Callithrix jacchus: one gene and its partners. The protein of the gene in region 6 interacts with the protein of the main gene of each other region in a pairwise test. Links are inferred from orthologs where the notes say so. Each region holds a gene or a part of one and is shown on either strand. Other genes may lie near its edges.

Region 1 (4,258 bases), on a different chromosome or scaffold from region 6:
CTTCACACAATGACGTGTTGCTGGGGCCTAATGTTCTCACATAACAGTAGAAAACCGAAATTTGTTGTCATCTCTTTCAAGATTTGACAGTTGTGTACAATAAAAAAAAAACCTTACATAAATTAAAAGGATGAATACATTTACAGGTGTAAATGAAAACCGCTTCCAACTCAAGGCAAGTAACAGCCCATGGTGCTCTGGCAGGAAAACATCAGGTAAGAAAGGAGACCGGGTCCTATGGCTTGGACTTTCCCACCCTGACAGACTGGCAGCCCTTGCCAGCCTCTAGAGCAATCCCAGAACACTAAGCTCTGACACATGAATACCCTGCTCAACTAAGAGACTGCTGGCCATGCACTCACCAAGGCAGACTTGTCTGCCCCCAAGCACATTTTTACCTCAGCCACGAAGTGACCAAGCCACATGTACTAAAAGTTGAAATCTGCTATGTACAGGGTATTAAACAAATAAGGGGAACAATTAACTTGAATACAAGGTCAAAATCAGCAACAAGTTCTACAATCCAGTGCTGATATCAGATACAAGCTTCAAGGACAATTTCTTTTCAAAGGCTTATTCCAGTTTCATGAGGCTAGCATGAGGTGTATGCATTTGCCAGGGGCAAATTTATACTTCCGAATTAACCCATGCAGCAAATGCTACGCATCTGCTCGCAGTCCATTTAGAAGCATTTGCGGTGGACGATGGAGGGGCCAGACTCATCGTACTCCTGCTTGCTAATCCACATCTGTTGGAAGGTGGACAGTGAGGCCAGGATGGAGCCGCCGATCCACACGGAGTACTTACGCTCTGGGGGTGCAATGATCTGCAAAGACAGCCAGGCATGGCTTGAGTTCACACAGCATCCCCAGCCAGGCATCCTGAGCCAGGCCGAGGGCCACCGATCCCTTAACTCACCTTGATCTTCATGGTGCTGGGCGCAAGAGCAGTGATCTCCTTCTGCATCCTGTCGGCGATGCCTGGGTACATGGTGGTGCCGCCAGACAGCACAGTGTTGGCGTACAGGTCTTTGCGGATGTCCACATCACACTTCATGATGGAGTTGAAGGTGGTCTCATGGATGCCACAAGATTCCATGCCTAGGGGACAAAGCCCTCCCTTAGTGGTGCTATGGTGCCCAGAATCAAAGCGCTCTCAGAAGCCCTTAGACTGAACACCTACCAAGAAAAGAAGGCTGGAACAGCGCCTCCGGACACCGGAACCGCTCGTTACCAATGGTGATGACCTGGCCGTCAGGCAGCTCATAGCTCTTCTCCAGAGAGGAGGAGGATGCAGCTGTGGCCATCTCCTGCTCGAAGTCCAGGGCGACATAGCACAGCTTCTCCTTGATGTCGCGTACGATCTCCCGCTCGGCCGTGGTGGTGAAGCTGTAGCCGCGCTCCGTGAGGATCTTCATGAGGTAGTCGGTCAGGTCCCGGCCAGCCAGGTCCAGACGCAGGATAGCGTGTGGAAGGGCATAGCCCTCATAAATGGGCACCGTGTGGGTTACCCCGTCTCCAGAGTCCATGACAATACCAGTGGTGCGCCCAGAGGCGTAGAGGGACAGCACGGCCTGGATAGCCACGTACATGGCTGGGGTGTTGAAGGTCTCAAACATGATCTGAAGGTAGAAGACGAGACGGCTTAGTCAGGGGCAAGGACCCGCGACCACCCCATGCTCACACGCCACAACATGCTGCATGCCAGTGTGATGTGTGGAGAACAGAAAAGAACGCAGGCAGAAACCAAATAAGAAACCTGGAGGCTTCAGGGAGGAAATGCCGGGAGAGGAACAGAGCCTGGAACAGCGAAAGAAACACTTAAATGTCAGAAATCAAGCTGGGCAGAAAATGACTAGGAAAACGGACGAGAGCACGGGCATCGCCGAGCCTCACCTGAGTCATCTTCTCTCTGTTGGCCTTGGGGTTCAGGGGGGCCTCGGTCAGCAGCACGGGGTGCTCCTCCGGGGCCACACGCAACTCATTGTAAAAAGTGTGGTGCCAGATTTTCTCCATATCATCCCAATTGGTGACGATGCCGTGCTCGATGGGGTACTTCAGGGTCAGGATGCCGCGCTTGCTCTGGGCCTCGTCGCCCACGTAGGAGTCCTTCTGGCCCATGCCGACCATCACGCCCTGCAGGGAGTTGCCATCAGGCTCGCCGCGGCCCCCGATCCCATCCCGCAGCGCAGAACCCAGGAGCCCCGTGGCGCCCTCCACTCACCTGGTGCCGAGGGCGCCCGACAATGGAGGGAAACACGGCTCGGGGGGCGTCGTCCCCAGCAAAGCCAGCTTTGCACATGCCGGAACCATTGTCGATGACGAGCGCAGCAATTTCTTCTTCCATTGCGACCTGCCAGGAAAGCGACGGACTCAGGCGGGGCCCGCTGGAAAACAACCCCGCCACCCAGAGCCAACCAAGACCCTCCGGCGGAGGAGCGTTACGCTCCACCCCAACCCCGGAAGCCGAAGCCTCCAACACCACAACAGCTTTGAACCAGCACCCGTGCCTTTTACGTAAAGCCCACCGCCCCGAACTCCGCACTGCGGCCGGGCCCCGCCCTAAACCTACGGCATCCGCCCAACGGTACCCGCGTGGCCCACCCAGGCGGAGCCAGCCTTTTGTTCCCGAAAACGACGCGGCGAAGCGTCCGCGGCGGAAAGCGGGGCCCGCGGGGGTCGAGGGGGGACGGCCAGAAACATCCTCCTCGGGTCCGATGAGGAGCGCTTACCAGCAGAGGAGCAGGGGAGCGGAGCAGCAAGAGAACACCGTACGCGACCTGGCAGCGGCGACTGAGACCGACTGGGGCCTCCCGCGCCGCTTTTTAAGAGAAAGCAGCGCGCCCGCGCGGCCCGGCGGCGCGCGCGGCCCCAGAACATGTCCATATATGGCGATCTTTCCGAAAGCCGGGCGCTCATTGGCCCGCCCGGCCTGGTCACGTGGGGCCCCGGTCCGCCCCGCCCCCAGCCCGCACCACCTCCCACCGGCACCGCCTGCGCCACCCCCGCGCGCTCGCGACACTGGGGCTGGCGAGGGGGGCTGGGTGGGGTCTCCCTCCCGGGGTCGCTCGGAAGGCCGAAGGGCTGACGGGCCTGGCTGCGACCCGGGACTGCCGTGTGGGGAGGGCCGGGCTGCGCCCCGAAACTGCCTGACCCGGGGCGGGGCCATGCGGGAGCTGGGGTGGGTCCCCGCGGTCCGGGCCACGCTGCGGGGCTTTGCTCCCCGGGACGTCCCCTGCGGGCTTTCCCTTCGGGCTCCACGCCCGGGCCGGGCTGGGGGAGGGGCGCGGCGGGGATCCCCGGCGCTCGGCGTTTCTAGGTGCGGGGGAGCCCTCACCTCGCCCCGGTCACCATAGGAAGAAGCCTCCCGTCCCCGAACGCAGCCACTACCCCACAGGTCCCTCCACGGGGCGCCCCGCCCCGGGTCTCCGTGGGTTTGGAGCCCGATACCCCTTTCTACCCGAGCCGACACATCCCTGTCCCTGAAATCACAGGCCCGGTTTGCCCCAGGCGCAGGCTCCGGGTAGGGGCTATCCCGCCCCCTATCTGCTGAGTAGGCGGTGCGCAGCGAGGCCTTTGTTTCATGCTGCTCACCTGTAGACATTATAGGGAAACTGAGGTAGAGACCATAATCTTGACTTTCTTGAAGGTCGGCTCCCCAGTCTGGGGAGGCCGCGGGGAATCCCCTCCCTGTTTTCGAGGCCAGTTAAAGGCAGGGGGTCAGGGCTGGCGTGGGTTTGGGCACAGGCTGGCTGGTCCCGGGCGCGCACGCCTCGCTTGGAGACTCGGCGGGAAGACCTGTCATCCCCGGCACCGGCCTGGCCGCACCTGCTAGCGCGGTGCTTCGGTTACACCCCGCGGGGCTCCCGGCGCTACGGTTTCCGTGTGTGCTGTGGAATTTTCAGGATGAGAGTGCCGGCCACGGAGGGGCAGTGGGGCGGCGCAGTGAGGCGACGACTCGGCCAAGGTCGCAGACCGTTCAGCTGTACTCGACAGGCTGGGGGGCGGGACCGAGGTCCCCACGCGGAGTCCCGCGCCCTGAGCCCTGCAAAGTGAGCTTCAGACGCGGTGTTTGGGAGTCGGGCCCAGCTCACCTGCGGGCTGCAGTCACCCCGGACCCCGAGACCTGTGCCTAAGACCTCGGTATCCCAGGCCTCCCGGGGGTGCTCAGCCCCACAGGCACAGACTCCGGGGACCGGGCAAGCTTCTCAGGTGTGTGCCTTACCGGGGCGAAACCGGGGCTGAGCCCCCAACAAACA
Region 2 (4,110 bases), on a different chromosome or scaffold from region 6:
TAAATTGTCTCTTTCATTAACTCTGCTGCTTCTCAAATGCAGTATATATATATATTTACCTACATAAAGTGGAGCAATAAAATCAGTACATATAAGCTTAAGCCCGTTTCAAGAAAAGAGCTCCCTTGGACAATACAAATTAATGACGAGATAAGCTCATTTGAAACCTCTTTTTAAAATAATAGCGCATATTGAATTATTCAGAACCCCAAATCTCACTGTTTAAAAATCAAGGGTCACCTGGCGCTGTGTCTCAGGCCTGTAATGCCAGACCTCACCTGAGGTCAGGGGTTTCAGACCAGCCTGGCCAACATGGTGAAATCCCGTCTCTAGTAAAAATACAAAAATTAGCCGAGAGTGGTGGCGCGTGCCTATAATCCCAACTACTCGGGAAGTTGAGGCAGGAGAATCGATTGAACTCAGGAGGCGGAGGGTGCAGTGAGCCGATATCGCGCCGCCGCACTCCAGCCTGGGCGACAGAAGAGACTCCGTCTCAAAAAAAAAAAAAAAAATCAAGGGTCTCTATGTGGAATAAATTACTAATCCCCAAGACGACTGTCATCAGTAGTTCAATCCATAATTTAGCAACCTCACACAGACATCCCTCACAGGGATAAAGTTCCAGGCCTTTCTTTGGGCATCGGTTTCCAGACCTGGAGAGACTCTGGTGTGTGTGTGACTAAGGAGAATAGCTGAATCACATCTAAAAGCGAGTCCTCCCAATTAAGAATCTATAATAAAAATGAAGACAATGATAGCATTCCATCTGCCTTTTAACCTCGACAGTTCTTCCTCCCAAGCCAACAAGCCTACTCCCCTCCCTCATTCCCCCCGCAAACTGGGAAATTATCTCCGAGGCCCGAGGCAGAGGGGCGGTAAGGTGGCCGGGCCCCGCTGCCTCTCCCGCCTCCCGAGGCTCGCTCCGCACGGTGCCAGCGGGTCCCCGCGGTCGGCCGCAAGGTCGCAAAAGCGGGGGGGGGGCGGGGAGGTGAGGAGGGCCAGAGTTCAGATGGGGCCACAGGTCAGAGGAGGGGCTGGGAAAAAGGAGCCTTCCCAAGGTTACCGAAGCGTGCGGACCGCGAAAAGCGCGCAGACTCGCCGCTGGCCCGGGGGCACTGAGTAGCCGCCCGCCCGCTAGAAGGCAGCGCTGCCCCGGCCCGGCCCAGCCCCGCGCATGCGCTGCAGCCCCTCCTCCGCTCCCGGCGCCCGCCCCTCCCGCTTCCTGGCGGGTCTGGGGCGGCGGCGGCGGCGGCGGCGGTGGCGGCTGCGGCGGCGCGGTGACGTCAGGGCGTTGGGGCAGCTCCTGTGACAGACGGAGCTGGAGCAGTGGGGCGGCGGCGGAGTCCGGCGGCCGGGAGGGCGAGTGAGCGAGCGGAGGAGCGGTGACCCGGAGGTCTAGGGAGCGAGAAGGAAAAGGAGGGGAGCGCTCCGGCGCGAGCGAGAGAAACCGCGAGCGCCGAGCTTAGGCTCGAGCCCCGGAACGGCTGAGGAGCCCGCCCGCTCCCCTCCCCTCCCCCTCCCCGGGCCCGGGCCCAGCGCGCCATCCTCCCCTCCTCCTTCCCTCCCTCCCTCCTCCCTCCCCCCCTCCCTCCCCCTCCCCCGCCGGTGGATGGGAGTGAAGGACGGAAGAGGCCCTGCGGAGGCGGCGGTGCAGCGCTCCGGTAAGGCGGCGCGGGTTTGCGCCCTCATCTGTCTCCTCCACCGCACCCAGGCTGCTGCGGGCCGGGCCCGGCGGCCTGACGATGTGGCTGCGCGGGTCCCCTCCCTCCCATTCTCCCCTCCCCCTGCCGCCGCCGCCGCCGCCTCCTCCTTCTTCTTCTCTCATCGCTCTCAAAATGGCGGCCGCGACGGCCGTTGAGTGAGAGACCCGGAGGAGGGGGATTGGCCGGGGAGGGCGCTGCCCTCGCTCCTCTCCGCCGGGGCCCGGCCCTGGGGGCTGCCCGCGCCGCTGCGACCCTCCCGCGGCCCTCCGCATGAAGGGATCGTCCTCCTCCCTCAGTGACTTAGCAAGAAAAGTATTCTTGGGTAGGAAGGGCGTGGGGAGCAGGTCGCTCTCTGATCTCGGGGAAGGGGATCGGCTTCGCTCTCCCCGGTCGCGGAGGCGAGCTCCGCAGTCCCCACCCCACCCTCCGTGGTCGGCTCGGGGACCGGCTCTGCGCCGCGCCGCCGGGGCACCCACCGGGCCTTCCAGGCGTTCCGTCCCCCACCCGTCCTTAGGATGGGGTTGAGCAGCGGAGGGTGGCCCACAGTCTCCCTGGCCCCCAGAGCTGTGGTCCAGCCTCAGCACCCGCCAAGGAGTGGCAGCCCTGCCCGCTGAGCAATCCGCAGCATCCACCCACCAAATCTGGCAGGATTTTCTTTCTGCCACCGGCTCCTCGAACGGGAGTTGCCTTTTGATACTGTTAACATTGAGCTTCGAGGCCCTCTGCCATTCCCCTTCATCTCATCCCTGCCCCTATGGGAAACGCAGTGCCTGGGTATATTTACCTTCTTTAACCTCCCGGGTGAGAAAATGCCTTTGAGGTGGTCGGCACATTTTGACGCTTAGAGACATAACAGTAGAGTGCAAAAGGTTTTCAGTATTTAGTAGGAGAGAGCAAGTTATCTTAGCTTTATTTGATATGCTGCCTTTTTTCAGTGACTTAGCAAGAAACTCCTCGGGAAGAGGGCAGGAAATTTTGTTTTGGGGTTTGGACCCAATTTATATCAATCTTTTGGTTAAGAAAATACGCCTTTGAAGAGGAGGACCAGATTTGTGGTTTCGTTCTCAATGGGCGATGTCATGCCAAGGTTCCCCCTCAGTCTTTCCTTAAGTGGCAGTCCGGACAAATGGAGATATTACTGTGATTCCCACTTCTCCTTTAAGAGCCCAGTCTTTGAGATTCATAACGTTTTAAAGGCCAATTTGTGCCAATCTTGGCAATTCTATTTTTGTTGGGGGAGGGTGGGTTATTTTGTGTGATTTTATTTTTGAGGCCAGAGCGGAGGAGACAGTGTTTGGGCCTTCTATACCTGTAATAATGCCATCCCTCCCTTTTTGCCACAGCAGTGTTTCTTTTCTTTTCTTTTTTGCTGCAGCGGGGCCTGATTGCTGCGGGGTCCAGTCTCATAATGAGGAAAATTTCCTGTTGAGTATGTCATCATAGTGATGTTGAATGTATATAAAAGCTTTTACTTAAAAAATTCTGATACGGTTTTAAGGCATTAGCTAGCTTTTAATCTCTAATGGGTGTCTTTTAGGACACAGTTTCACAAAATAATTGGCAGTTGCAAATTGCAGTTTTTAATAAAGCACAAGAGTAATCTGTATTTAGGGCGATTTCTTTCGTGTTCATTAATGATCATTGTTTGGATTGTTCAGAATGGGTGGAATCTCCTAAAAGAAATTTAAGGCTGGTATATATTTTTTGAAAATCGGAAAGAAACCCAGTTTTTTACATAAAGTACTTCTGTATATGTTGATTTTGATGGAGCAAACCCTGTGTTGGTACCTCCCCCTACTTCCTTTTAAAAAAAATGGGCTAATGTTTGTGGATGCTGTGAACAGCCATTGAGCAGAGAAGACTGGGTGGAGTAAGGGAGCAGAAGCTGTGAAATGCTAGATTGCCCTTTCACAGCGTCTTTCTCTTGCTTAGGTTTTATAAGGTTATTTGATATGAATGGTTGCTATAACTAAGTCATTTTTCTGTAGTAAATTTTAAAATCTAATGTTTTCTACCTTTTTTGCATGATGGGTATTGAATGATTGGGTTAAAAAGCAGTGTCCCTGCTTTAATACAGACACTTATTGTCTCTGTATTTGTCCGTGTGTCTCTGTCTATATATATTAATATATATAGGCACACACACATATGTCTACACTCTCATTAATGTTTTTTATTGTTCTAGTCATATCAGTATAAATTAATTAATGTCAGAACTATTTGCTAAGAATTAGTAGGAGGTATAGGAATACTGCAAAATTCTAAAAAAAAAAAAAAAAAAACCAAAAAACTACAGTTTTCTTCTACTTAAAACAGTAAATCTGTTTAAGGTTTTAAAATAATGAACATAAAATATGAGAAAAAAAGGATAAGATAATTTGCATTAAAGGCCCTTTAAACCTTTTTT
Region 3 (3,972 bases), on a different chromosome or scaffold from region 6:
GTCCATAATCCCTTATCTGCAATTCCAAAATCCAAAAATCTCTGAAATCCGAAAATGTTTTTCTGAGATTCATTTTGAGGTAAATTCTAAGGTGAACTCAGTCTACTTGTGGTCTTTAGTCATCTTATTTATTAGGAATATTCATACATTTTGCTTAAAAATATTACTGTTTGAGCCGGGCGTGGTGGCTCACCCCTGTAATCCCAGCACTTTGGGAGGCCGAGGCGGGTGGATCACGAGGTCAAGAGATCGAGACCATTCTGGTCAACATGGTGAAACCCCGTCTCTACTAAAAATACAAAAAATTAGCTGGGCGTGATGGCGCGTGCCTGTAATCCCAGCTACTCAGGAGGCTGAGGCAGGAGAATTGCCTGAACCCAGGAGGCGGAGGTTGCGGTGAGCCGAGATCGCGCCATTGCACTCCAGCCTGGGTAACAAGAGCGAAACTCCGTCTCCAAAAAAAAAAAATTACTGTTTGAGTCGAAGAGTTTCAGGAAAAAGAGCCTGGATATGAATTAAAATACACCCTTCCTACATATCCGTGTATAAATCATTCATTTAATCTTGCAGCCTCCGTTTCCTCATCTGCAGAATGGAAATAAAATCTCCGACCTCTCAAGACTGCTGCAAGGATTAAATGACCAGGCACCCATATCTTTTAGTTTGGTGTCAGTACATAGTAGGCACTCGATAAAAACCGACTGCAACGCTACTGGATTACAGGCCACAAGTCTACGCTTTCAGATCTGGAGGCCCCGCTGGGACAGACCACAGATAATTCTGTCTCGCTCACCTGGCTGTGGCAACGGACCGCCCGGGTGCACGAAGCGCAGGGCGGTCGCAGAAGCTGGCTGAGCAGCGCAGCCCAGGCCCTCCTGGGTAGAAGTCCGAGCTGGGGCATCGCGCGGCAGGACTCCGGATTTCCGGGACAGGAACAAAAGGTCTTGGAAGGAGGCGGGTCGGACTCTAGGAAGGGTGCAGGGCGCTGCAAAGACGAAACCCGGGCACCTGGGACACCTCGAGCGTTCGCGCACCTCACCAGTCACGAAAGCTAAGCTCTGAGCCTCCCAAGTTACCTTAGTAGCCAGCTACGGCACTTCCTGTAGGAGACGGAAATAATTTTTGCGCTCAACGGAGGCTCTCTAGGCATGCGAGCCTGCGACTCGATAGCCGGAAGTCATCCTTGCTGAGGCTGAAGCCGCCACAGCAGGGCTAGGCAGCAGTCGGCTCAAGTGGGTAGACGGGATGGCAGAGCGTGCGGCACTGGAGGAGCTGGTGAAACTTCAGGGAGAGCGCGTGCGAGGCCTCAAACAGCAGAAAGCCAGCGCCGAGCTGGTGAGACAAGCAGCAGGGAGAGGGCCTCGGCAAAGCCTGAGAGGATGTAGAGCCAGGATGTTCGGGATATAGGACAGGGATATGAGGGAAAGGACCAGGCTTGTAGGGAGGAGGGTGGGCTGCGTGGGGAGGCATCCGGGGTGGGTCCCGAGAGAAACAAAGCTAGGCCTGAGCAGAGAGATTCTGATGAGGAAGGAATATTGAATGAATGGGAGGGGGAGGGAGGAGAGTGACAGATGGATAGCCCAGCGCCTTGTTTCCTTCCACAGATCGAGGAGGAGGTGGCAAAACTGCTGAAACTGAAGGCACAGCTGGGTCCTGATGAAAGCAAACAGAAGTTTGTGCTCAAAACCCCCAAGGTAATATCATTCCTGTAGGGAGCCACTGAGAGGGTCTCTAATTCTGCCTCCCTAAACCAGGCCATTGAGGAGAATCTGAAATACTGCAGAGGAGAGGACAGTTGCTCTGGGCACTGGGCTGTACTGGACTCTACCTGAGTCATTCTGGGATGGCAAAGTAATGCCAGAAAGTAGGCCAGCTTGGTGATAAGGGGAGTCAGCCTACTGCTGCTACTCCTTCATTCGTTCGGTAAATACGTATTTACTGCTTACTATGTCTCTAGCACTGTACAAAGCACTGAATATACCATGGAGGACAATATAGCCTACCCTCATGGAGCTTACATTCTACTGAAGGAGAGAGACTTAGAATAAATAATCCCACACATGGATTTTTTTTTTTTTTTTTTTTTTGAGAGGGAGTACCCTCTATTACCCAGGCTGGAGTGCAGTGCCCACAATCTTGGCTCACTGCAGCCTCTGCCTCCTGGGTTCAAGCAATTCTCCTGCTTCAGCCTCCTGAGTAGCTGGGACTACAGGTGCCCACACCATGCCAGGCTAATTTTTGTATTTTTAGTAGAGATGGGGTTTCATCATACTGGTCAGGCTGGTCTTGACCTCCTTACCTTAAGTGATCTGCCTGCATACAATGGATAAGTAATTACATATTGTGAAAAATGATATAAAGAAATTAACAAGGTTGCTCTGAGAAAAATAAGGGAGAACTGGGGAATCTGAGAAAGGCTAACTGAGGAAGTGATAAACTAACTGATATAATGGATGAGTAGGAAATAGCAAGAGAAAGTGTGACAAAGATAGGTCCATGTAGAGTATGGAAACCCTGAAGCGGGAAAGAACTTTGGTGGTTTTGAGGAACTAGAGGATGATCTATATGGCTAGAACTAGGTAAAGGAGAGTAGAGTGGAATGAGATTGGAGATTCTTAGCTTATCTTCCAGTTCAGTTCCACTTTCTGTAAGCTCTGTAAACAGAATTGTTTACCCCTTCATCTGGGTTCTCTTGGCACTTCATACATACTTCTGTTATTGCACCAACTTTAAGTAGTTATTTATGTGGTTTATTTACCCTGAGGCTGAGACTAGGTGCCTAAATAGTATAGTCAGCCCTCCATATCCCAGGGTCCCACATTCATAAATTCAACCAACCGTGGATCAAAACCATTCGGGGGAAAGAAACAAATTAAAAAAGAAATCTAGCTGAGTGTGGTGGCTCACACCTGTAATCCCACTACTTTGGAAGGCCGAGAGGGGAGGATCACTTGAGCCCAGGAGTTTGAGACCAGCTTGAGCAACGTAGCAAGACCCTATCTTTACACAAAAAAGAAAAAGGTGTGGTTTTTTGGGGTTTTTTTTTTTTTAGACGAAGTTTCACTCTTGTTGCCCAGGCTAGAGTGCAATGGCATGATCTTGGCTCACCACAATCTCCACCTCCCAGGTTCAAGCGATTCTCCTGCCTCAGCCTCTCACGTAGCTGGGATTATAGGCATGCACCACCATGCCCAGCTAATTTTGTATTTTTAGTAGAGACATGGTTTCTCCATGTTGGTCAGACTGGTCTCGAACTCCCAACCTCAGGTGATCTGCCCGCCTCAGCCTCCCAAAGTGCTGGGATTACAGGCATGAGCCACTGGCCCAGCCAAAAAAAAAAAAACTTTTCAAATCTAATGTAACAGTAAAAAATTTCAAATAAAAAGTACAGTATAACAACTATTTATATAGCATTTACATTGTCTAAGGTATTATAAATAAGCTAGAGACTATTTAAAGTATACAGGAGGATGTGCATATAATTTTATATCAGCAGCTTGAGCATCCATGGATTTTGGTATCCACATGGGGCCTAGAACCAATCTCCTCTGGATACTAAGGGATGACTGAATTTCATAAATGTATTTGAAATTGAATTCCAAAGGAGAGGGGAGATGGTCTTTCTTTTGTTAAGATTAATTCTTTGGGTTCCTAAATTCATTGAGCCTTTTCTTTCTACATATAACTTATTTTTGAAGGTTAAAGAGAGTGTAAAATCCGAAAGTGGTAATGCTCAGTGATTATTCAAAGTATTATATGAAAAGCTTATTGTGGAATTTATGATGGATCAGTCTGTCCTCACCAGTGATCAGTGTCAACATCACTAAAAGTAGGACAACCAGATGTTCCTGCTGCTGTAATGCAATAAGAAGTACACGGCACCACCTATGAAGTACTCTTGCCAAGTAAATTGAACTTGACTCTAATCAGATCTTTGGACTAACTATCAATTTACAGGAAATACTAGAGATG
Region 4 (3,500 bases), on a different chromosome or scaffold from region 6:
ATTCAACCCCAGGTAATACAGAGAACACCACGAAGATATTCCTCAAGAAGAGCAACCCCAAGGCACATAATCATTAGATTCACCAGGGTTGAAACGAAGGAGAAAATACTAAGGGCAGCCAGAGAGAAAGGTCAGGTTACCCACAAAGGCAAGCCTATCAGACTTACAGCAGATCTCTCAGCAGAAACTCTACAAGCCAGAAGAGAGTGGGGGCCAATATTCAACATCCTCAAATAACAGAACCTTCAGCCCAGAATTTCATATCCAGCCAAACTAAGCTTCACAACTGAAGGAAAAATAAAATCTTTTATGAACAAGCAAGTACTCAAAGAGATTTTATTACCACCAGGCCTGCTTTACAAGAGCTTCTGAAAGAAGCATTACACACAGAAAGAAACAACCAGTATCAGCCCTTCTAAAAATATACCAAAAAGTAAAGAGCACCAACATAAAGAAGAATTTACACCAACGAATGGATAAAACAGCCAGTTAACATCAAATGACAGTAGCCCTAAATTTAAATCGACTAAATCCCCCAATCAAAAGACACAGCCAAAACCCAACGGCATGTTACATCCAGACCTGTTTCACATGCAAGGATACACAAAGACTCAAAACAAAGGAATGGAGAAAGATTTACCAACCAAATGGAGAGCAAAAATAAATAAATAAATAAATAAAAAGCAGGAGTTGCAATTCTCATAGCGGATAAAATAGATTTTAAAGCAACAAAGATATAGTGGTAAAAGGATCAATACAACAACAAGAGCTAACAATCCTAACACCCAGATACATAGAGACTTAGATTCAATGAGACAGAAAATTAATAAGGATATCAAGGACTCGAACTCAGATCTGGAACAAGTAAACTTAATAAATATTTATAGAGCTCTCCACTTCAAATACATAAAATATACATTCTTGTCAATACCACATCACATGTACTCATAGGTTTAAATGAAACATTGATTGGCCATTATTAATACCCATTTTTTTTTCAGAATAAAGCAATATTTCCATTCACCCTCCCTCTCTCTCTTCCTCTTTCTTTCTCTCCTTTACTCATTTTTTTTCTTTCCTTCTCTCAAAAAGAGAAATCAACTTGTAAACCTCTAGATCCAAGTTGGCAATGTCTCTCTCATTGCTTGAATTCCTTCTTTCCTTTCCCTCCCTTCCTCCCCCCTTCCTCCCTTCCTTCCTTCATCCCTTCCTTCCTCCCTCCCTTCCTCCTTCCCTCCCTTCCTGCCTTCCTCCCTTCCTCCTTCCCTCCCAAAAAAAAAAAAAAAAATCAGTATGAACTTAAGAAAAAAAATTCTAATTCTATCCACTGAAAGAATCTCGTTATGACGCCTCTGCAGCAATGAGCACACCTAGTACCTAGATCTTGATGTCTCTTTATGATTCTCTACGAAAAGCAAACAGAGCTTGTTGAAGAAACGTTTGATTCTGGAGCTGGATAAAGGAAAGTAAAAAGTAATTGGTGGCTTTTTTGTGTCCAGAAAGCAAGGAAGTGCTCAATGAAGGTCACATTAAAAGGACACAAGAAATTATACTTCCTGGCTAAATTTGGGACAATTTAAGTATTCCAAAAAACGGTGATGGTAATGGATAATCACAATTAAGTTAAAAATTACAAAAACAAGTGTATAGAAATATTAACAATAAGGGAGTGAGGGTGGGTGACATGAGGACAGCTCTTCTTTATAAAAGAATTCCTGCTGATACACAGAGAAGAAATGACACAATTAGAAAATCACCATGTTGTGACCCCCAGTGGAACAATTAATTTGGGCAGAAATCATTGCTGGTTGCAAAAATCATCACTGGATGCTAAAACCATTGGGTGAAACATGTTGGGCACTACAGGCACATGGTCTCAAAGTATCATGACACTTTGAGTATCATTTCATGGATCATACTTATTACAAAGTGAGGGAAAATACCTTTATAATGTAGAGATCCGGAGGCCACCACCTTAACCCAGTGATCAAGGCTGGCATCACCAGCAGCGGGACAGTCTGATGTATGTGCCTGCTAATGGGATGCATTAAGGTGTTTGTAACATCACCCATATAGTGTTCCTGCCAAAAATATTGAATTATAATCTAATTATGAGACAACACATCTGGAGTGTGAGGCATTCTATAAGACAACTGGCTAGGGCTCTTCAGAAAGAGCCGATATTATAAAACACAAACTAGCATGCAAAAATATCAGGGTGTGTTTTACACTTAAAGGACTCAAGAAATGTAACCACCAAATTAATTGTGTGAACATTGATTAGACCTTGGCTTTTGAACAAATTCTGTAAAAGATACCGTGGGACAACTGGGGATATCTGAATTGTAGGCTGTCTATGAGATGTTATTTTTCAATGGTTAATTTTCTTAGGTGTAATAATATTGTGGTTACGTAGGTGAATATCCTTATTCTTAGAAGAGTGTTGAAGTAGTTAGCAGTGGTGTGTTTTGATGTCTACAGAATAATCTCAAATAGTGGAGCAACAATAAATATAAATACAGAAAGAATGAGAAATCAAATATGGCAAGATGAGTGTAAGTGAAGGGTGATGGGTGTTCATTATTTTATTTTTTACAACTTTATAGATTTGAACATTTTGGTTTTTTTTTTCTTTTTGCGGGGGCGTGCTGCCAATTAAGGAGTTGCAGGGAGAACTTTAAACTTGCTGAAGGGGGTCTCATATGTGGGGAAGGCTTCTCCCATCTGCCGTTCCGGTGGTTTGGGCTGGGCCAGGCCATCTCTTCTGCCATCTGATGCTCTCTGACTCCTTCCCAAGCTGAGACATCACCTCCTCTCTTGTTTCCACTCAGGTGAAGACCCCCTTGTGGACGATCAAAATGAACGAGATATCAATTCAGTCGCTGGTGTTTTAAAACTGTATTTCCGAGGACTGGAAAACCCACTCTTTCCTAAGGAAAGGTTTCAAGATTTGATATCTACTATTAGTAAGTATTTCCCAGGTTAAATGATCAGTTCTTTGACAAATCATTGTTGGAGTTGAGCCACAGGCCCATTGCTGTGCTAGGCATAGAGGGGGAATATTATGAAAAAGTGTAGCCTGCATCCTTATAGCTGAAAGTGGAAATAATAAGCTAGTTTATAATGAAAGGGCTCATGGTTGTGGCACATACCCTGGGTAGAGAAGAAGCTCAGAGGACAACCAGAGGAACACTTGGTTTCATAGATCAGAGCCAAAAGAGTGCTGGGAGCAGAGTGTTCCATGCATGGTGCTAGAGGCTGGAAGGGGAAAATGGAGCAAGATGGGGAAGACCTTGAATGCCTTGCTAACATTCCAGAGCTTTTCCCCTTGGGTGAAGGGGAGCCATGGAAAGTTTAGAGGTCAGGTCAGCAGCATGACCAGCAAGGGAAATGGTGAAAGTAAGTTGACTGGGGATTTTCACTGACATTGCTAGTTAATGGTAAGCAACTGTTGTGTTTCTGTGGATAAAATCAGGAGGAACCCAGTCTAGGGGGCTGAT
Region 5 (4,272 bases), on a different chromosome or scaffold from region 6:
GAGGCAGGAGAATTGCCTGAACCCAGGAGGCGGAGGTTGCGGTGAGCCGAGATCGCGCCATTGCACTCCAGCCTGGGTAACAAGAGCGAAACTCCGTCTCAAAAAAAAAAAAAAAAAAAAGAATGTTATCAAGTGCCTGTAGATGTTCTGGTCACAAGATATACAAAGGTGAACTGAACAGACCAGAGCTCTGCCTTCTTGGAGTTTAGTGTGTGTGTGTCTGTGCTTGGGAGGGGGAGTGTCTGGCTCACAAAATATACTAAGTTCAGTATGTTGAGCAGAGCAGACTGTGCTACCTAGATGTGTGGTTATACATTTGTGGTGAGGACAGGCCCATCTTCCTTGTTCGACCCCGTCACTCCAGTACCTTGTGAAAGGCATATTAGGTACCTGATTTATGTTGGCTGACTAAATAAATGAATGGGTGGACTTTCTGAGAGGGGACCCAGTAAATCCAGCACCACAGGTTTTGGGTTTAGGATGTGTGTGTGGATATGATGTAAGGTGTGTAGTTTGTGGACTCTGTTTATGTGGCAAAGTCTGGGTCAGAGTATACGTGGTAGATGTGGAGGAGAGGATGAGATATGAAAGCACAGATGTACATAAGAAAGTCTGCCTGTGTGTGAGGTAATATGAAAAGCCAAGTGTTTGGTTGTGTAATTTTGAAGTAAATCCGGGCTTGGGTGTGAATCTAAGTGTAGGTTCTGACTGAGGTAAACCTGGGCTGTGTCAGCGTGTGAGATTAAAATGTGGGGGTGGTTGTTTGAGGGACAGAGCATTAATGAAGAGTGATTTGCAGGGCAAAGTCTAAGAATGTGTGTGTGTGTGTCTGTGATCTGAAATGTCATTGTGTGTGAGGCAAATTAGGGGTGGTAAAAGCAAAAGCTACGATATTATATACAAACTAAGAAAGGGCTCATGTGAGTCAAAGGGAAGGAAGAGGGCCTCTCTCTCAGTGTGCTTGTGTTGTGTGTGCAAACCAATTCAGGACTTTATGTGAGGGTGTGGGTTCTCAAGGCTGATCCTGGAACTGGGTGTAATTGTGAGTGTAATCTTAAAGATGAGGATGAGGCACGTCCGGGGTTCTGGGTAGGATTGTGAGTCTGTCGTAAATTTGAGTTTTCATGTGTTACTTGTAGATCAGGACTTGGCTTTGAGATGAATCCACCTGGGTCAGCATTGTTTTTGTGCATGAGGGGCGACCTAAAGCTTTGTGTTTGTGAGGCGAACGTGAGGCAAACTAGGGAGTCAGTGGGGGTGAGACAGTCAAGTTCCTGAGCGTGAACATTTCTAAGGCGTCTGAATGGCGAGTCAGTGTGTGAAGCGAGGCTGCTGCGCGAGCGGGCAGTGTGCGCCTGTGTGTGCGTGTGCGCGCGCGCCAAGTTTGGTTTGTGTTTGTGATGGGCACCGACGCTGCGTCAGCCCGGGAGGCCACGTTAGGGTTGGGGGTGCGTGAGGAGGTGCGGCCGGCCGAGAGGTCCCGCGAGCGAGCCGAGCGCGCCGCTCCTCCGGGCCCCTGCGCCTAGCGCTAGCTGGCTGTGTGGCTCGCTGGCTCGCTGGGGACAGGCAGGAATCGGAGCAGCACTGCCGCCTCTGGCGCGAAGGCTCAGGCGCCTCCTCCCGCCCCAGTCACTGTGGCTCGGCGCACGCTGCCGGCGGCTGCCCTTTCCGCCTCTGGGGAAGAAAAACCCGCGGGCCGTTTTCGCGCTTGAACCATGGCCTCGGGCCGGAGGGGCTGGGACAGCTCCCACGAAGACGATCTGCCCGTGTACCTGGCCAGGCCGGGCACCACGGACCAGGTCCCGCGGCAGAAATACGGCGGCATGTTCTGCAACGTGGAGGGCGCCTTCGAGAGCAAGACGCTGGATTTCGATGCCCTGAGCGTGGGGCAGCGGGGCGCGAAGACCCCTCGGAGCGGCCAGGGCAGCGACCGAGGCTCGGGAAGCCGGCCCGGCATCGAGGGGGACACCCCGCGCAGGGGCCAAGGCCGGGAAGAGATCAGGGAGCCCGCGCCCGCGTCCTCCGCGCCCGCCGGGGTGGAGATCCGGAGCGCCACCGGCAAAGAGGTGTTACAGAACCTCGGCCCCAAGGACAAGGTAAGGGGACCCTGGGTCACTTCCCTGCTTGCCTTGGTTCCTTTCTCCAGCCCCGGCCGCCATGGCCCGGGCACAACTTTCTCCAGCTCACTTTGCACAGGGCTGGGGGGACCAGGAGGAGGAAAGGGGCATTCGCCACTGAGCGTAGCGCGACTTCCTAGCTCAGACGCTGGATTCACGCGTGTAGCCACTTGCAGCATCTTCGTGCAAGCGCGGAAAGGATGCCCGGGTCCCCCTGCCTGGCGCCGCGTCCTTTACCCCTGCCTCCTCTCCGCACCCCTGGGCCATCCGTTCTGGGTGGGTGTGTCAGCCCGGGAAAGCTTAGTGATTTCCAGCTCTTCTCTCTGTGTGAGTAACCAACAGCACAATTGCCTTGCCCCCCGCTCTGGCCCTAGATTAAATCTCAACCCGGGTCACCAGGGCAGAGGGCAAAGTGATGCTGGGAATATGGGGTCATCTCCATAGTCCCCGGATGAAAGTACAGGATGAGCGGTCTCCCCTCTCACTCTTCAAACATCAGCTCTGCTCCTGAAACTTTTAGGTGTGGAGCCTCTAGACTAAACACTCGAATATCTCTCTATGCCTCGCTTATGTCTTAGCACGGCATTTCGCATCTGTGTTTGTAAAGAGTGTATTTGTGTACATAGCTTGGCACAAGACCGGGTATACAGGGGTCCAGCTGCCTCTGCAAGAATAGCATTATATTTTAGAAAATAGACGAGAGTATTAAGAGTGCACATTAAACTAGCATGAGATGCAAATTCCCTGCTGCTCTTAAATGTGCCAAAGCCAATTTCTTCTGTATGTGTATTTTTGAGAAACTTATGTCACACTGAACTGACTGAGGGATGGCATTGAAATCTAGCTTGCCCTGATTTTTGTGTCTATTTCATAGAGAATCAGAGTTGTAGTTCAGAAAATTCAGGACCTGGCAGGGCTGCAGACTTCAGAGTTCAAACTGAAGCTTTTAGATAGGGAATAATAGTAATCAGATGCTTCACCCTAGTCTAGGTAATAGCTTCAAAATCCATCCACATGTATTATTCTGCACTAATATGGTTAGAAATAATAAGCTGAAATGGAAATGTCTGCCTCAGAGCAATTGCAGTTAATGCTTCTCCAGGTTTTAGTTGGTTTTCCATTAAAATGCAATGAGCTAATGAAAGGACAACATCTTTCTCCACTGTCTGATTTTTGAAAGTTTAGACCGACAGACCAACCAACCGACCAACCGGCTGACCAACCAACCAACCAACCAACCAACCTTTAACTACCAAGATGACCAGGGAAAATAAATACTGAAGTTAGTGCTGTTCAAGGGTACCACTTGGGAAACAATGTCAGTTTCCTCTGGAATCACTCATCTAGCTTGTGATTTTCACATCATCCTTTGAGTGTGGGATTCCCCTGAGCTCTTGTTTACTAACATTTTAGGGAACACTTCTGATATTTTGCAAATGTTTGGGTTGATAGCTAAACTGAAGAAGAGCTCTATAGAAAGGTTATTCCTGTTCTTCATGTCTGACTTGATCCATATTGAAATGTTCCCTTCCTGACTGCCAGGGGCGGGAGTAGTGATGGAAAAGGTCGGTAACAATTGCTGTGAGTCAGTGCTATTCCCTTTGCTGAAACACCCCTGATGTAAGCCAGATAATATGCTGGGTTTGCAAAATTTAAGAATGGTAACTAGAGAAAGGGAAAATATTCCTCCTTTAAACCTAGCAATTCTCCCGTTTTCTTCCCTTTTGCAAACCCTATACTTTTGGCTACTAATTGAGAAACAATAATACAACCTAGGCACCAGCAGGATTGCTAGTGCTATATAGTTATTTGTAAGTTTGGGCTTGCAGTCTGCTTCGTCCAGGCCGTGTTATTATCTCTAATTTGATTGAATCATACTGTCAGAAGAGACCACAGAGGTTATCAAGTTCTGAATTTGTTTATTTCCTTCAGGGTAGAGATTGTATATTTGGATTTATGTGTGTGGCTAGAATGCTTGGCACACTGGAGGTGTTCAATAAATATTTGATAAACTAAACTCTTTAATTAGCCATGTCTTTTTCCGCATAGATGGTAAAAGGATCATCTGGCCTCTGTTTAAATACCACTGTTGTCAGGGAGCTCACTTCTTCATGAAGGAACTTTTTGGACTTTACTTAAAAAAAAAAAATTAAGC
Region 6 (3,500 bases):
TACTATGTAAACTAACTGTTAGAAAGCATAAGAGACTTTTACTAGAAGTACATTAGCAACATCTATACATAACTAATAAAATCCATTAATTGCCTATGAAAACCAGTACCCTAATTTCTGCCCTGTTCATTTCTAATGATGGCTTTAGGGCCCGTGTGGCCTGTGGTCCTGTTAGCAGCAGGGATGCTTTGACTGGAGCCTTGACGCTGATACTTACCAAAAGAATTCTTTATCTCAAAAATGGTTTTTTTGCTCAAGATAGAGTTTTCGGGGGCAAACTTTTCTACTATTGCTTTTAATATACTGTCCCTTAATGTATATTTAAAGCCATTAGTGTGTTTTAGAGCCCAAACTAATAATTACAAGTATTCCTCACTCAGCATATATTTGGTTCCTGAATTTTGGGTGACAGGTAGTTGGTTTGCATAGTGAGGGTTCGGACACTGAAGGATGCTTGTGTGTGATTTCTCTATTAATGATTAACTCTGAAAATAAGAAAATGGATAATATCTGACCAATGCCAGTGGTCTAGAAACATTAACCTTCTTTCAAAGAGTTTGGCATTTGAAAAAGTGATCTATTGCATGCCTTGATCTCAGTTATCTATTGCTGTCTTTGTGGGACGTCTTATCTCAAGGCTGGCTTTGTTCTTTTGCTCAGTGCAATAGCCAAATAACTATTGCTGATGTAATACTTTGCACACATGCACACACAAAGTATACATGGTCTGGTTTATATTCCTGGCTTTTTGCAGCAAATCTTATTTGGCGAGGGGTAAGCTTCTGGGGCATGGGATTTCAAAACCGAAGTCAGCTAGATGCCAATTGTATGTACCCTGCACAGCCATGGTGGGGGAATAGATGTTCAAATTACTCCTCAGTAGAGGCAAGAGGGCTGTTCTTCATTCTGTAGCTCCTCTTATTGTGTTAAAATACGTGAGATTAATATGAGTTTGAAAACAGACTTGCTTTGTATATTTGATTGAGTCTGCCTCTAGAAAAATTCAAAATTGGATAGGGAGGATGAGGGAAAATAGCTCTTTCAAATTTTTATTTCAAATCAGGCAGTAAAATGAATAAAGATTTTTAGCTGCTACATAAGAAATATGCAAACAGACATGAATATTGAACACCTGCATGGGGGCTCTTAAAATGCTCAGACAGTGAGTCAGCAGAAGAGAATTCAGGCCATGCATGTGGGGAGAATGGTTGCATTGTCCTGGTGGCTTTGGGAAGCACAACAGTCAAACTGGTCCTCAAGAAATCAAGGACAGGACACAGTTGATCTGGAAGAAAAGTCACAGAATTTTTAAAGTTGTCTAAGATCTTAAGCTGTATCTTATAGTGTGCATCTTGTTTATCTAAATTCCTCTTTAAAACTGTCCTCCACGACAGTCTTTCTGCTGTAAATATGTACTAAGGGTAATGATTACCTGTTTAAAAAGAGCATTCACTAGTTCTGTGAGCACTGCCCATGAGGCACTTGGGACCTGTTACCTGCTTTGGGCTGAAAGAGACTCTGGAAGGAGGGGAATGACGAGGAAGTGAAATAGCCTGAGAGAAGCAGGGTTAGAGGGGAAGCAGGAATGAACACCACATGTGTAGAAACAGGGAGGAAGAGAGGGGAGAGCGAGACAGTGCAGTCCAAGCAGGGCATGAAAGAATGACAGGGGCCATTGTATTTGAGGAAGCAGGAAAGACAACTGGGAAGAAAGACCCTTAAAGAGAGAAAAAGAAAGTGACACAGGAAGTCTATTCTAAACAGGCCACGCTCATTAATTAGGCAGCCTGGAGCCCCCAGTTGCCTATCAGTAGGACACGTGAAGAAACGGAGGGTGCATGTTCTCAGCTTCAACCTCTTGTTCTTCCTCTCATGTCCCATGAGTCAACCCAAAGCAATTTTCAATGTTCCCCAAGCCATCTAAATGCATGCTACCATTCCCTTTGATTGTCTAGAGTGCAAACTGTCTCCCTCACTGACCCCATGGCATTAGGACCAATCAGTAAGATAACATCACAATCCATGCGAGAAAAACTCTCAGCAGGTCACAAATTCCCTGCTAACGGAACAACACAAGATAATGGGTTAAGCAAAGAGTGGTGGCCTGGGTGTTCTACATTTTTGTTGTTGTTGCCAGTGTTTGCTCTTTGCAAATTCTTGATGCAGAGCAGAAATGGAGAGTTTTGGCTCCTTAAAATCAGTTGATCAGAGGATTCAAATGGCTGTGCAGGTGACTACAGAAAATCCTTGCTAGAAGGTGGATCTACTTCTACACATTGAGGCTGTCTCTTTTTTGGCTTGTAGGTAGAAGAACGGTCAAGGCTCAACCGGCAAAGTTCCCCCGCCATGCCTCACAAGGTTGCCAACAGAATATCTGACCCCAGTCTGCCCCCAAGGTCGGAGTCCTTCAGCATTAGTGGAGTTCAGCCTGCTCGGACACCCCCGATGCTCAGACCAGTCGATCCCCAGGTATAATCTCTCCTCCATTCCATCAGGCATACCAATAGGGTACACAAGAAAACCTACTAAAAGCCTAGGGAATTGTGACATGGATTCAGGCATAGGACAATCAAATTATGACCCTTAATATATAATTTTTATACTCACCAATATTGAAGAATAGAAGAAAAGGTAAGAAAGTAAAAAGCATCACCCTTAAACTTGAGGCAACTGTAAACTCACTTCTATGTAAATTGGCCTCCCTGGGGACCCGTAGGAGTTTCTGCAAAATAAGAACAAGCATCCTTTTAGTTACAATTATGAAAACTAGAATTCATAGAGAGCTTTGAGGTGTGTGTATATGTACACTGTATCTATACGTATAAGATTTCATTTTCTTGGGACTTTGACATGAGCCTGAAGCTGGAAAAATTAAATGGACTTGGTTAAATAAAATGACATCTTCTAAGCCAGTGGTTCTCAAAATGTAATCAATGGACCAGCAGCATCAAGTCTCACTCAGGAACTTGATAGAAATGCAGATTATTGGGCCCACTTCAGACCAACTGATCTGTGGGTGGGGGAGGGCTGGCAGTCTGATTTAACAAGCCCTCTAAGTGATTCTAATGTACTTTGGATTTTGAGAATGACTATTTAAAGCTATACGGTAAAGAAAAAAGATTACTCCACTTTTAGGAAAGGATGGAGTTTCCGGAAGCGCTACAGGACTTTGAAGTTATAGATGCTAAAATGAAATATGAAGTGAAATAGATTATGGAATTCCATGAAAAATAAAAATAATATAGTTTCTTCTGCCAAATGTCTTACATTTCTTCCAGGCATCCACTTGTGTTAAGATTTCCATGAAACTTTTCAGGGTCACCTTTGAAATATGCAATGCTGTTTGAACTGGAGTTAAAAGAGTAGTGATAAAACCAAGTATTCTTAGTGTTTTAAGTTTGCCTTTAATAAATGAAGTCCAAGATTTTTCAGCACCAGCCGGCTTGGCATATCTTCCTCTCGGTTATTTTACATTTGTATATCATTCTTTCATGTCTAAC
Region 7 (3,500 bases), on a different chromosome or scaffold from region 6:
TCTGTCTGCTATTCATCCATCAACCCACCTAACAACAAATACCTATTGAGTACTTATTATGAATAAGGTATTGTGCTATATAGTGGCAATATTGACAAAATGAGCAAATCAGACATATTTGCTAGGCATATGGAGTTTACTACCTAGTACAAAGAGAACCCCATTAATCAAATAACATAGAAAATCTTACAATTATAATTCTTAAGTGGTAAAAGGATAGATAATCCTATAGATGTATGATCTGATTTCATTTTGGGGCCTAAGTGAGAACTCCTTGAAGTGAAGTATGACACAAGCAAAAACGACCAGGTGAGGCAATGGTGGCAATGATGGCGCTGTTCCAGAGAGAGTCTATGGGAAGGCTCTGTGCATGTGCTCTTCATCTAGCTTTCTCCCATTCTCTGGGCCTCTCGCTAGTCTCATTTTCTTACATTTATTTATCTGGATCTCGACTAAATAGTCCCCTTCACTGTATCACTGAGCTGTGCTAATCTACTTGGTTTCCTTTATTTAGTGCAGTCTAACCTAATAAAACTCTATTTCTGAAGGTTGTATGGCAGGAACACTTGTTGACTGTTGACATGTTGGGCATTTTACATACATTATTGGGGTCTTCCCCCATCTTTATCCTGGGCTTTGTCTCTCTCTTGAACTTAATTTCTGTATGCCTTCCTCTTTCATATATTCCTTTATTTTGGTAAGAATGTCTTCCAGAAGCTTCCAAAGAAAGGCTATTTGTGAGGTAAATTTTTGAGACTTTAAATGTCTGAGAACATCCTTTTTTATTTTCACACTTACTGACAGAATGAAGTATGAAATTTATAGGTTGGAAATCTAGTTGAGAATTGTGAAGATTTGCACCACAAAGTTTTGCTTCCAGTGTTGCCACTGTGAAATGTGATGCCATTCTTATATGTAATCCTCTGTAGAAGAATCTGAAAAATGTGTAGAAATCTTTTCTGAAAAAAAAAAAATCAATAGCTTTTCTATGTACCAACAATGATCAATTAGGGGCAGGCAGATATGTGGGGAAAAATTCCATTCCAAACTCTAATAGAATTCATAAAGTATTTGGGAATAAATCTAACAAACATTTCACACCTATGTGAAAAAATTTTATACTTTATTAAATATAAGACTTGACTAGACACATAGGCAGTAGTCACAGATGACAATGTTATATATCATTATAATAATTCCAACTTTAGATTCAAGGCAGCTCTAATGCAAATTCCAAAAAAGTTTATCCACAAACGGATCCTAAAATTCACAAGTACAGAGAAAAAAAGAGTCAAACAATTTTTAAAAGAATAAGAAAGGAAAATTTGCCCTACAATATATCAACATTAATTATAAATCTACAGTAATTTTAAAAATGTTGTTTGCAAAGAGACAGAAACAAGAATGGCTAAAATAATAGCCTCGCCATACACCCATATATGTGAAATAAGGTATGTAACAGATGGCATCATCAAATTGACAGAGGAAGAGATACTATCCAGTTAATGGTGCAAGCCAACTGGTATTCATAGAGAAAACAGAATTAGATCCCCACATCTCACACAAAGATGAATTCCAAGTAGATGAAAAATATGAACATGAAAAACTTTTAAAATGAAAAATCTGAAACAAAAATGGCAAAATGTCAACATTTACTGAATCTGAGTAGTTCATATATGTTAATATATGTATTTTCTATACTTTTATGCATGTTTAAAATTCAAAAAGTCATGAATGATCTATAATAATTACCCTGTATCCCGTATCTTCCACAACATCACATGAAGTTGCATTATCATTGGTACGCCACACTGTCTCCTTGATGCTGCAACCATACATAAATACATTCTTCTTTCGGGAATGGCCATGATAATCACAATAAACCTTGAAAATACGTGTTTTAAAAATTAAAAGACTTCCTTATATTACTAAGTCAAGGTAGTTAATATCAAGCCAATAAACATGTAGGTCTGTGTTCCTTGGTCTTTTTATTGTAAATAAACATGTCTTTTATTTTTTATTTTTTTAAAAATGATACTCTTAAAAATTAAATTAAAACCATACCCTTCTTTACGGTGTTTTTTAATAAATAAGGGCATTTTCTTGTTTTTTTTTTTTTTTTCTGTTGTGGTTTTTAAATTTCTTTTGTTGTTGTTTCTTGTAAAAGAGCCACCATTTAACAATTATGACCAATAAAAGTGATAATGCCTATTAATGCCTAGTTTGGGAAAGGATCTATAATTAATTCTAGAATTGCCAAATCCTTTAAAGGTCCTATATCACCTTTGTATTTACTATTCACCATTTTAAAAATAATACATTTCATTATAGTTCAAATCTACAGCTGTGGTGACTGCTGCCCCAAATGGTTATAAAAACATTTACCTAATTTAGTCTGGAGCAGTGCCTCACGCCTGTAATCCCAACACTTTGGGAGGCCAAGGTGGGTGGATCACCAGAAGTTAGGAGCTCAATGCCAGCCTGACCAACATGGCAAAACCCCATCTATACTAAAAATATAAAAATTAGCCAGGAGTGGTTGTGGGTGCCTGTAATTCCAGCTACTTGGGAGACGGAGGCAAGAGAATAGCTTGACCCTGGGAGGTGGAGGCCAAGGTGGGTGGATCACCAGAAGTTAGGAGTTCAATGCCAGCCTGACCAACATGGCAAAACCCCATCTATACTAAAAATATAAAAATTAGCCAGGAGTGGTTGTGGGTGCCTGTAATTCCAGCTACTTGGGAGACGGAGGCAAGAGAATAGCTTGACCCTGGGAGGTGTAGGTTGCAGTGAGCCGAGATCATGCCAATGCACTCCAATCTGGGCAACAAGAGCAAAAATTTGTCTCAAAAAAAATTTTTTTGATTTAAAAGCGAATAATAACAACAACAACAACAACAACAACAACAAAAACTAGAAAATGCTCTTATTTATTAAAAAACACCATAAAGAAGGGTATGGCTTTAAGAGCATCATTTTTAAAAAAATAAAAACTAAAAGACATGTCAATTTTACTCCTCTGCAAAGCCTTTCTTTCTTAAAGAAAGATTAAATAATATACATACTAATATCATGAAAACATCCTAATCAAAAGCTGGTGAGAACAGAAAAAGCATATGTATATAGTTCAGTTCAGTCATGCCTGTACTACATTTCCCATTTGTGTAGTAGAGATTTAACAGCTTCAGAGCTGACTAGAAAACTCAGAATAAGCTCCTAGTTTGAGAATTTGAAGATACATATTGTTACCTTAGTGTTGTTCAAGCAGTGAAATTAAGTATCTAAAACCAAGAGTTATCAATATTCATAACCAAAAAAGAAAAGTAAAAGGCTTATATAAGAGAATTATAAACATTCACCCTTGTAAAATTAAGAATACAAACATTAATGGATGAATCTGACCCCACGATTATTACACAAGTACTTGATAACAAAAAATGACATTTTATCTTTGACTATACCAAGTAAAAACAAGTAATGCTACTTACCAAAGGTAAACG

The links.
Region 1: the proteins of TNIK (region 6) and ACTG1 interact in a two-hybrid assay, tested with the Homo sapiens proteins (2 studies listed by BioGRID and IntAct). The link is inferred for Callithrix jacchus from reciprocal best matches to the Homo sapiens genes TNIK and ACTG1.
Region 2: the proteins of TNIK (region 6) and PAFAH1B1 interact in a two-hybrid assay, tested with the Homo sapiens proteins (2 studies listed by BioGRID and IntAct). The link is inferred for Callithrix jacchus from reciprocal best matches to the Homo sapiens genes TNIK and PAFAH1B1.
Region 3: the proteins of TNIK (region 6) and HARS1 interact in a two-hybrid assay, tested with the Homo sapiens proteins (2 studies listed by BioGRID and IntAct). The link is inferred for Callithrix jacchus from reciprocal best matches to the Homo sapiens genes TNIK and HARS1.
Region 4: the proteins of TNIK (region 6) and SRGAP3 interact in a two-hybrid assay, tested with the Homo sapiens proteins (2 studies listed by BioGRID and IntAct). The link is inferred for Callithrix jacchus from reciprocal best matches to the Homo sapiens genes TNIK and SRGAP3.
Region 5: the proteins of TNIK (region 6) and DPYSL3 interact in a two-hybrid assay, tested with the Homo sapiens proteins (2 studies listed by BioGRID and IntAct). The link is inferred for Callithrix jacchus from reciprocal best matches to the Homo sapiens genes TNIK and DPYSL3.
Region 7: the proteins of TNIK (region 6) and AGTPBP1 interact in a two-hybrid assay, tested with the Homo sapiens proteins (2 studies listed by BioGRID and IntAct). The link is inferred for Callithrix jacchus from reciprocal best matches to the Homo sapiens genes TNIK and AGTPBP1.

What each region holds. Positions count from the first base shown.
Region 1 is NC_133506.1:137,174,493-137,178,750, forward strand, and holds the start of ACTG1 (actin, cytoplasmic 2), read right to left. Parts: upstream 2,801-4,258; 5' UTR 2,732-2,800; intron 2,353-2,731; 5' UTR 2,347-2,352; coding exon 2,224-2,346; intron 2,136-2,223; coding exon 1,896-2,135; intron 1,622-1,895; coding exon 1,183-1,621; intron 1,101-1,182; coding exon 919-1,100; intron 827-918; coding exon 683-826; 3' UTR 1-682. UniProt on the Homo sapiens protein: Actins are highly conserved proteins that are involved in various types of cell motility and are ubiquitously expressed in all eukaryotic cells.
Region 2 is NC_133506.1:65,660,552-65,664,661, reverse strand, and holds the start of PAFAH1B1 (platelet-activating factor acetylhydrolase IB subunit beta), read left to right. Parts: upstream 1-1,310; 5' UTR 1,311-1,661; exon of another isoform or gene 1,662-2,313; intron 2,314-2,487; exon of another isoform or gene 2,488-2,536; intron 2,537-3,078; exon of another isoform or gene 3,079-3,132; intron 3,133-4,110. UniProt on the Homo sapiens protein: Regulatory subunit (beta subunit) of the cytosolic type I platelet-activating factor (PAF) acetylhydrolase (PAF-AH (I)), an enzyme that catalyzes the hydrolyze of the acetyl group at the sn-2 position of PAF and its analogs and participates in PAF inactivation.
Region 3 is NC_133503.1:39,057,980-39,061,951, reverse strand, and holds the start of HARS1 (histidine--tRNA ligase, cytoplasmic), read left to right. Parts: upstream 1-1,172; 5' UTR 1,173-1,245; coding exon 1,246-1,335; intron 1,336-1,604; coding exon 1,605-1,694; intron 1,695-3,972. Other genes in the region: HARS2 (histidine--tRNA ligase, mitochondrial), read right to left, coding at 794-901. UniProt on the Homo sapiens protein: Catalyzes the ATP-dependent ligation of histidine to the 3'-end of its cognate tRNA, via the formation of an aminoacyl-adenylate intermediate (His-AMP). Plays a role in axon guidance.
Region 4 is NC_133516.1:66,218,394-66,221,893, reverse strand, and holds part of SRGAP3 (SLIT-ROBO Rho GTPase-activating protein 3), read left to right. Parts: intron 1-2,831; coding exon 2,832-2,966; intron 2,967-3,500. UniProt on the Homo sapiens protein: GTPase-activating protein for RAC1 and perhaps Cdc42, but not for RhoA small GTPase. May attenuate RAC1 signaling in neurons.
Region 5 is NC_133503.1:46,031,269-46,035,540, reverse strand, and holds the start of DPYSL3 (dihydropyrimidinase-related protein 3), read left to right. Parts: upstream 1-1,472; 5' UTR 1,473-1,715; coding exon 1,716-2,096; intron 2,097-4,272.
Region 6 is NC_133518.1:15,936,465-15,939,964, forward strand, and holds part of TNIK (TRAF2 and NCK-interacting protein kinase), read left to right. Parts: intron 1-2,304; coding exon 2,305-2,469; intron 2,470-3,500. UniProt on the Homo sapiens protein: Serine/threonine kinase that acts as an essential activator of the Wnt signaling pathway. Recruited to promoters of Wnt target genes and required to activate their expression. May act by phosphorylating TCF4/TCF7L2.
Region 7 is NC_133502.1:97,423,272-97,426,771, reverse strand, and holds part of AGTPBP1 (cytosolic carboxypeptidase 1), read right to left. Parts: coding exon 3,489-3,500; intron 1,885-3,488; coding exon 1,753-1,884; intron 1-1,752. UniProt on the Homo sapiens protein: Metallocarboxypeptidase that mediates protein deglutamylation of tubulin and non-tubulin target proteins.